Linked DNA regions of Bombyx mori. The protein of the gene in region 1 purifies or fractionates together with the protein of each later gene. This does not show direct contact. Links are inferred from orthologs where the notes say so. Each region holds a gene or a part of one and is shown on either strand. Other genes may lie near its edges. The genes, in order: ubiquitin thioesterase trabid and sarcolemmal membrane-associated protein.

Region 1 (4,603 bases):
AAATTATTTGGCGCTTCCTTTAAAAATTAACCCTGATGCTAATGTGGCACACCCCTAATTTAATACATTTCGACCACTGAAGTACTATATAAGTCTATGATTTCGACGGACACTTTTCTTATATGTAAGGTACATATCTACACAGTTGATTCTCCTTACCTCTATCCTCCATAAATAAAGCTCATTGCAAAAGTAAAGTCCTATAGACAATTGCACATTTCTTGCGCTTGTTTAGACCTTGATCTTAAGCTAACTAATATACTAATCTGTGATCTTGAGCACGCTACATTTTTTTTTATTGCTTAGATGGGTGGACGAGCTCACAACCCACCTGGTGTTAAGTGGTTACTGGAGCCCATAGACATCTACGACGTAAATGCGCCACCCACCTTGAGATATCAGTTCTAAGGTCTCAATATAGTTACAACGGCAGCTCGCCCTTCAAACCGAAACGCATTACTGTTTCACGGCAGAAATAGGCAGGGTGGTGCTACCTGGCTTACTGAATTTGGCCCTCTTTTTTTTATTTTCGCATTTTTTTTTAATTATTTGTTCGTCGTTTGCTCGTTAATGTTCGAATGTAAAAATTGTTTGTTCTTCTTTTATTTATTTATAATTAATTAAACAAATGATCACCCTTAAGTTGCCCCTCTTACTAGATATTTTTATTTTTATCGCTCAGATTAATTAATTTTGATCAATTTAGTAGCGTTTTGTTAACAAGTGCGTTTATACTGTCTAATTATTTCTTAGGTAGATCAAAAAAATATTGAAAACTTCAGCAAACCTCGACAATACTTGAACAAAAAAAGTCAGAGAAGACGGCCAATTAATCTTTAAAGTACGATTAGCGCGGTTTTAATAAATTCAGTTATTTTTAATGATATTAACAAGCATTTATAGAAAATATCTTTCTAACATATTTTTTTACCATTTGCACCATCTTATCATTCCTCGATTATTCTAACACCGGTCACTCACATGCGCACGAATACGCAAACCCACAAGTGTAGGACGACATTTGCGAATGATTATGCAAAGTTTTCGCTGCATTCGTGGTTTTCCAAGCTGTGTCGGTTTTTTAACAGACATCAAAGCGCGCGAACCTCGAACCTTCGCGTAGTCTCCCACACATTCGCTTGCCCAGTTGCGCCGACGATTGCGAAGGTAACGGACGTATACTATACGCCATTTTCATAGTTCGTGACGTCTACTGTGTAGCGTATCTTCATCAAAAGAAATCCCATAAAAACAGCATGGCTGTTAATGATGTCTGGGAAAGAATTAAAAACTCTTTTCCTCTTCAATGTTCTATTGACGAATTAAAAAGGAGGAGAAATTCGTGAGACATTCGTAAACAAGTGTAGGAGGAAGCGCAAACGGGTTCGCAAATTGAGTATGCGAACCCATTTGCAAAGCCGCTAGATTTGCGAATGAATGTTTGACGGCCCTTCACATGCGCACAAACATTCGTACAATGTACGAATATTTGCGCGCATGTCAGTGGCCGGCATTACACTCTGAATTTATAGTGAAACTTTTTCTATTCCATCCTCCATAGTGCAGGGAACGGTAGCTCCGAACATTATGAAGTCTGTGACATTATGGAATCTGTGACATTAAATTGGTGGTCTCGTTTTTTCATTGGCTTAACCATTTCAACAAAACATTTAGGATGCCATGTTATTGGTCAAAATAAAACTATACCTTTATACTATTTTACTATTGGCACATTATAATCGGCATCTTTTGATAAATATTTCGCCAATTAAATGATAACATTTTAGTGGCACAGAACATTTTTTTGACAATTATCGAATGACAACATTTGACATGACCAAAATTTGTCAAAATACCGTGCAACTTGACTGTAATTCCATTAACAAATTTGTTTTTCCTGTCTTCCCCGTATTTGTTTCGTCCCAAGTTAACTAAACAAACTGTGGAGTAGTCCGATCGATCTGATCGTTTCTTACCGTGAGTGCGTTGATATGCTTGGATAGACTTGACCTTATGGCATCTCTCACGATGTTTTGTGTTGTGTAACGACGCCAAAATCTTGCATTGCAGCTTGCCAAGAGTCCTATCTTCAACCTTGCGCACTATATAAAACAGAAACGTTAGATGTATGGGCATCCCTATTTGTCAACTGATTGAATTCCTAAGGTGAAATTTTCTCACAGTGAAGACGTTTCGCCTGTTTCAGGTCACACAAGGCGACGCAGCAAAGAGCACCTGTTCAAATATTGAAGTATTTTATATGATGAAAGCTTTATAGTCCATGTAGGAACGACTCTTGCTCTAAATGTTCTAATTGGTGTACAATGAGTGAAGAGGCGAAGAATGATGCGTCAAGAAAGAGTGCATCACAGTCTGTGGGGATTGATTGTGCTTCAGGCCCAGGGGCTGAGGCGATCACACAGGATGCCGCCACTACCATTTCCCAAATTGGACAGGTAAGAAAATTATCCAATTTTTTGATTAGTTTATTTAAGCTTAATTCCACTAAAATCAAATACATTATAATCATAATTAGAAAATGGAAAGAATTTAATGTGGTAGTGCAAAGTAGTCGAATTGCAGCAAATGTGTGAGCGATGCCATTTGTTTATTTCAGTTGTCTATTATCAAAGGTGGCAATCTGTGCATTTGGACAAAAAAATGTTATTGATATGTCAATACAGATTGATTTGAATATAATCGTCTCCTTCAAAGAATACGGTTCAAAACCTGCATTAAATAAAGGTTAATACTTAACCTGCTATTTATCTAAGATGTCATTCAGAAGAGCTTTGTGACTGCCAATGGAATACAAAGTCAATAATTCGTTTTTCTGATTTACCAATAATTGTCCAAAAGTCACATTGCCGGCTTCGATAATAGTCGACTCATTTATGTTATTTAAAGAAGTGCTATGTGAGTATTACACTAAACCACTAGATCCTGGAGGCATTTGAATTCTGGCTAAGTTGTATTGCTTGAAATGAGTACACTGTGTATTTATATCCTTTAGGCCACAACAATTTCAGTTTAGTTTTACAATTGGAATTAAACATAAATTTACAGATTATCAGCAATAATAAATAGGTCTTAAACTTAAAAATTAAAACATAAAATACTTTTTGCTAATTATTGAAATTTCTGTTGTAGCAATGTAAAATTCATCAATACAATAACGGTCACAGAATCTGTACTTCCATACTAATATTTTAATGTGATAATTGTAATTAGAAATGCTTTAACAAAACTGACTTCAAATAAAAAAAGATATTTCAAAACAAATTCATATACGCTAAAAACAATAATCATGGAAATCAGTTGGTGTGATATTGAGTTATTCATCTATTTGTCGCGCACATACCTAATGCAAAATTAAGATTTATATGGTTTTCTCATGGATACCACTATCACTAGACTAAATTAAAATGGGACCACATGGGAAGCATCAGCTTTGTAATTAAAAAGAATCATCAAAATCGATTCACCCAGTAAAAAGTTATGAGCTTACAAACAAAAAAAATCATACAGTGGAATTGAGAACCTCCTCCTTTTTGCGCAGTCGGTTAAATGATTTTTTCCATCTTTCATGTCAAAACGAAGCAACAGATTGACAAGATGTTTCTTAAAGTTTTAGGTCAGGACATAGGCCAACTTACTCTACTTTTATACTTTGCATTTTGTACTGAAAAAATATCATCTTGATGGGAAACTATATTCTTATCTTTTGCAAAATTACCTGATGCTTTCTAAAAATTAATTCATGCTTTAATTGATCACACGACCGAAGTCATGGGTAACATCTAATATAGAATAAATAAAAGTTTTGATTTCTAATTCTTAATGACAAAAATGAATTAGAATTATTTAGAGCCATGAAATAATTTCATACATTTTATCATTGGTTTCTAGTATTAATAAGTCACCTGGAATAAATATGTAAAAACATCACTAGTTAGTAAAGCGGGAGATGGATTCCTTTGAACAAGTTTTTTTTTTCTAAACAGTAATGCATTGTAGTTTGAAATCGTTGAACAGTTGTTCCAAATAGAATAGGTCTGATTACATTTAGCATTGGCGCTGATGTCTCTGAGCTCCAGAGCCAGTACCAAACAAAAAATAGTATATGACAGTATTTACTATTACATAATGTTGTTATCATATGGAGGCTCACTAGTATTATAATATTTTTTGCATAAAGGCAACAAACAGCCAAAATACAATTTTCCATTGATATTCACACTTAAAATTCTTTACAGTTTGAGACATTCACTAAAGTAGTTACTTATTCTTGGCTATTTGCTCACATACAGATTGTAAATGTAATCAGTGTGAAGTATTTTGAAAACTTATGAATGGTGAAAACCAATTAATCAAACTATTGGAAAAAACCAAATATTGGGAACTCTTTGCCCTGCATCCTCCTTAGATGAGCTGTTCTCAACCTTTCTTACTTAAATTAACATACGCTTTACAAATTTGCAACACCCTTACTTGAACTGAAAATTTTAATACGAAGTGAAAGTAAGTATAGGAGATTTTTTTAAGATATATTTATTAAAAATGTAGCTGTACAATTAAAATATGTAATACATGTGTACTATAA
Region 2 (3,831 bases), on another chromosome or scaffold:
GCGTCAGCTATAATAAATCCTAAAAATTACTGAATCGCGCTAACGAAATTTTCACTATAACCTTGCATGCATATAAAAGTATCATTGGAAAAATGTACGATTTTTGGTTACCCTGTATTGTAGTAATGTAATTTTTTTTTCATAACTTTTTCACAACCAATTTTAATCTACCAAAAAAAGCTATAATTATCAAACTAAAGAATATTTTGTTATTAATTGGATTAAAAAATATTATTACTTGGAGAAGCATTGCTGACGTCCGTAGGCGACGGTAACCACGCACCATTGGGTGAGTGCTCATCTGCCTACAAGGGCAATTTAAAAAATTTTTAGCAAATATTCAATAAAGTTACTCACGGGCGAATCCTCTCGGTTACTAGTTTCAGTGTATGTGGAATTAGCGTTGTTGTCTGGGCACAGCTCACCATCCAGCGGACTAGACCTCTCCTCGTGTCCGGGTTCTGAAAGAAAAAAAAACTACATTTATAACTATATACATATACATGTCTATATCAAGCGATGGACAACTGTGGGCTATTGAAAACAACGTTAGCTCATAAAAAAGAAAGGATTACTAATAAATTTAAAACAAATCTCTGCTGCCAGGAAACAATTGGGAATTTTAGTGAGTAATATTATGATATACATGACAATACAACTTGTGTAGATTTGGTTTTATATTCGCTGAGTGTTTATATGAACTATATTGAAAAATAATAAAAATAATGTATACATAAGGATGTTTTGTTTTTAATTTTTACTAAAGATCGTTAGGTACTCAACCAGAAACAATTGAATGTTGATAAAGGTACTTATGTATTCATAATTAGTGTTTATGATTATTTTAATTTGTTTACATGTTTAAGAGTCAAACAGCTGACGGGTCACCCGGTGGTAAACGGATCCCAGAGGCCATGGACATCAGTGAATGTCATTTCGAAGCCCGTGCGAGTTTACAGCACATCCTATCAGTGAATGTCGGTCGGCGATCACTTTAGTTAGTATATACTAAGGGAACGCTGCTATCCATTCTCCCGGAAATAGCTTTAATCGCCTTTACTGAGACCCCGAGAAAAGATGAGATGATGCTATGATAGGCGACCGCACAGCCAATTTAAACATATAACTAGTGGTCCCCCAGTAGTCGAAATTCGACTATATTTAATTGTAATTATAAGTTTCAACATTATTATGGAATTAAAGACTATTATCTTACTTTCTATAATCACAAATTTCGCCATGACTACATTATAGACAGATAATATTAAAGATAAACACTATTAATCTATGGTCAATTTGACCACAGACTAAACAGTAACAAAAGATTGACAATAAACGAAGAGTATATGTTTCGTGTGTTTGTGTGTGTTAAATATATGGTACTATAGTTGTGTGTGTTAAATATATGGTACTATAGTTGTGTGTCATGTTTCTTTTATTGAATTAATGTCTTTTTTAGGCATAACTAGTTGACCCGGCAGACTTCGTGACAGTGCCCCAATCGATAAATAAAAGACCTAAGCTTTAGTATAAAATAAACTTCAACATAAGGAATCCGTCCGACGGGGGACATCAAAAGGAAAACAAAACTGTTAATTTTATTTAATTCCGAGCATTTTCATATTTATTTACCTTTTAAACCTTCTCTAGACTTCCACAAATATTGCAAGACCAAAATTAGCCAAATCGGTCTAGCCGTTCTTGAGTTTTAGCGAGACTAACGAACAGCAATTCATTTCTATATTATATAGATAGAATAAAAAATAATTAACATGAAGCAGTAATGCGTTTTGGTTTGAAGGGTAGGACAGCCGTTGTAACTATACTGAGACCTTAGAACTTATATCTCAAGGTGGGTGGCGCATTTACTTTGTAGATGTCTATGGGCTCCAGTAACCACTTATCACCAGGTGGGCTGTGAGCTCGTCCACTCTGAAGACCACCACGTCTAAGAAAAAAAAAAAAAAATCTGTACTCCCTCTCTGCATAATCTATAAGTGTGGAAAATTTCATACTCCTCTATCAAATACAAATCATACAAAGTTTTTGCTTCACGTATTATTAAATAGATAAACGGAAATAACTGAATTAGTTTTTTTTCTCAAACATTTGAATTTAGAATTGAAGCAAATCTCACCGTGATTCAATCGGGATTGTTTCTCGTCGTCAGTACAGGAGTCAGGCTCGTTGGATTTCTCTTCGCAGCTACCACCGACGCCGTCCTCTTCGGCTTCTAGTTTTTCTGTATCTACAAACATGCTTATTTGATTTGTAAATCCCAGAGTCGAGCGATTTTATATAATCATTAGTTTTATTATTACACGTATCGTCTTTTCGCATTAAAAGTTAATTCGCATTAATTGAGTTAATATGCGGAATCATTTGGTATCACCAGTATTTTTCTCATAAATAATGTCAAAAGAGCGTAGTTTAGTTTTAGTTTTTTTTTTTTAGTTTTCCTATATTTTGACTACTATTAACAAAATTAATTCATAATTTATCTTACTTTAAAAGACAAATAATGTATCTGGTAAAAAATAAAAAATAAATGTTGCAAAGATGATTAGTATTAAAAATATCACATGTTACACCTTCAAAACACTCTCCTGTAAAATTAGTAAGTTATGAGATTATACAGTTTTAATGCGAGAAGACGATATAGCATATACAATTCTCTCGTGACTCAAAATGATGACAGAACACAATAAATCAAATATTTTTTAATATAAATTACAGTGATCTGCTTACCTTTATTTTCAGAGTTATAGGCATTGTTCTTCTTGAGTATCAATTCGAATTCTTTAGCGGACTTGCCGTCGGCCGAGACTATTTTTATACCGACCTGTAATCACAGAGGTTTTTATTATTTTTATTGCTTAGATGTGTGGATGAGCGTACGGCCCACCTGGAGTTAAGTGGTTACCGGAGCCAGTAGACATCTACAACGTAAATGCCGCCACCCACCTTGAAATATAAGTTCTAAGGTCTCAGTATAATTACAACGGCTGCAACACCCTTCTAACCGAAACGCATTACTGCTTCACGGCAGAAATAGGCGGGGTGATGGTACCTACCCGTGCGGACTCACAAGAGGTCCTACCACCAGTAAGAAGTTTGTTGAGTTGTTAGATTTTATTTGTTGAACTGAAAACATTTGTCATCAAAGTTTTGTAACTCATTAAAGATATTAAAAAGTGAATTACCTAAAGTTAAGTACCTACCTAACAACTAAATAGTGCCAGCCCTATCGCAAAACTCTATTGTCTCCATACGTAACCTGATGCACCCCAAAGCCAAGGTAAATCGGGTCAAGCTAATTTTTTCAGTTTTTGTGTATATTTTGTAATGAACTCCGGTCACCGCCCTCGTCGAACCCGTCGCTGACGGTAAAGGCCTCGACGAGCGAATTAACCCATACACACAGCCCACTAAGCTTCTCGCCGGATCTTCTCAGTGGATCGCGTTTCCGATCCGGTAGTAGATTCTGCGAAGCACTGTTCTTGCTAGGGCCAGTGTTAGTCAAACCGGGCCACTCCCGGTTTGAGCCCCGTGAGCTCACCTACACGTTAGGGCGAAGCTGAAATAGCCTCTCAAGGCTATCAGCATAGGTAGGAAAAAAGGTAATGAACTATGTATAATAACGCATCTTATATAAAAATTTAAACCTCCGGAACTATTTTAATCTCAATTTTATTGGTACTACCCCAAGAAAAACCATTGAAAATTTGTGTTATATTTGGAAAGGGCCCCGATTCCCCCCAAACTACGGTACCCCGCATCAGTAACAGTACAGTAAGGCCATTATGAGCTAGTATACCTTATTCAGTAGTT

Evidence for each region.
Region 2: the proteins of ubiquitin thioesterase trabid (region 1) and sarcolemmal membrane-associated protein purify together in Homo sapiens (affinity purification with mass spectrometry; 3 studies listed by BioGRID and IntAct, with this or other methods). This does not show direct contact. The link is inferred for Bombyx mori from reciprocal best matches to the Homo sapiens genes ZRANB1 and SLMAP.

What each region holds. Positions count from the first base shown.
Region 1 is NC_085132.1:7,267,235-7,271,837, reverse strand, and holds the start of ubiquitin thioesterase trabid, read left to right. Parts: upstream 1-1,714; 5' UTR 1,715-1,977; intron 1,978-1,986; exon of another isoform or gene 1,987-2,070; 5' UTR 2,071-2,126; intron 2,127-2,206; 5' UTR 2,207-2,324; coding exon 2,325-2,456; intron 2,457-4,603. UniProt on the Homo sapiens protein: Ubiquitin thioesterase, which specifically hydrolyzes 'Lys-29'-linked and 'Lys-33'-linked diubiquitin. Also cleaves 'Lys-63'-linked chains, but with 40-fold less efficiency compared to 'Lys-29'-linked ones.
Region 2 is NC_085114.1:11,199,307-11,203,137, forward strand, and holds part of sarcolemmal membrane-associated protein, read right to left. Parts: coding exon 3,818-3,831; intron 2,843-3,817; coding exon 2,749-2,842; intron 2,249-2,748; coding exon 2,138-2,248; intron 462-2,137; coding exon 358-461; intron 1-357. UniProt on the Homo sapiens protein: Associates with the striatin-interacting phosphatase and kinase (STRIPAK) core complex, forming the extended (SIKE1:SLMAP)STRIPAK complex.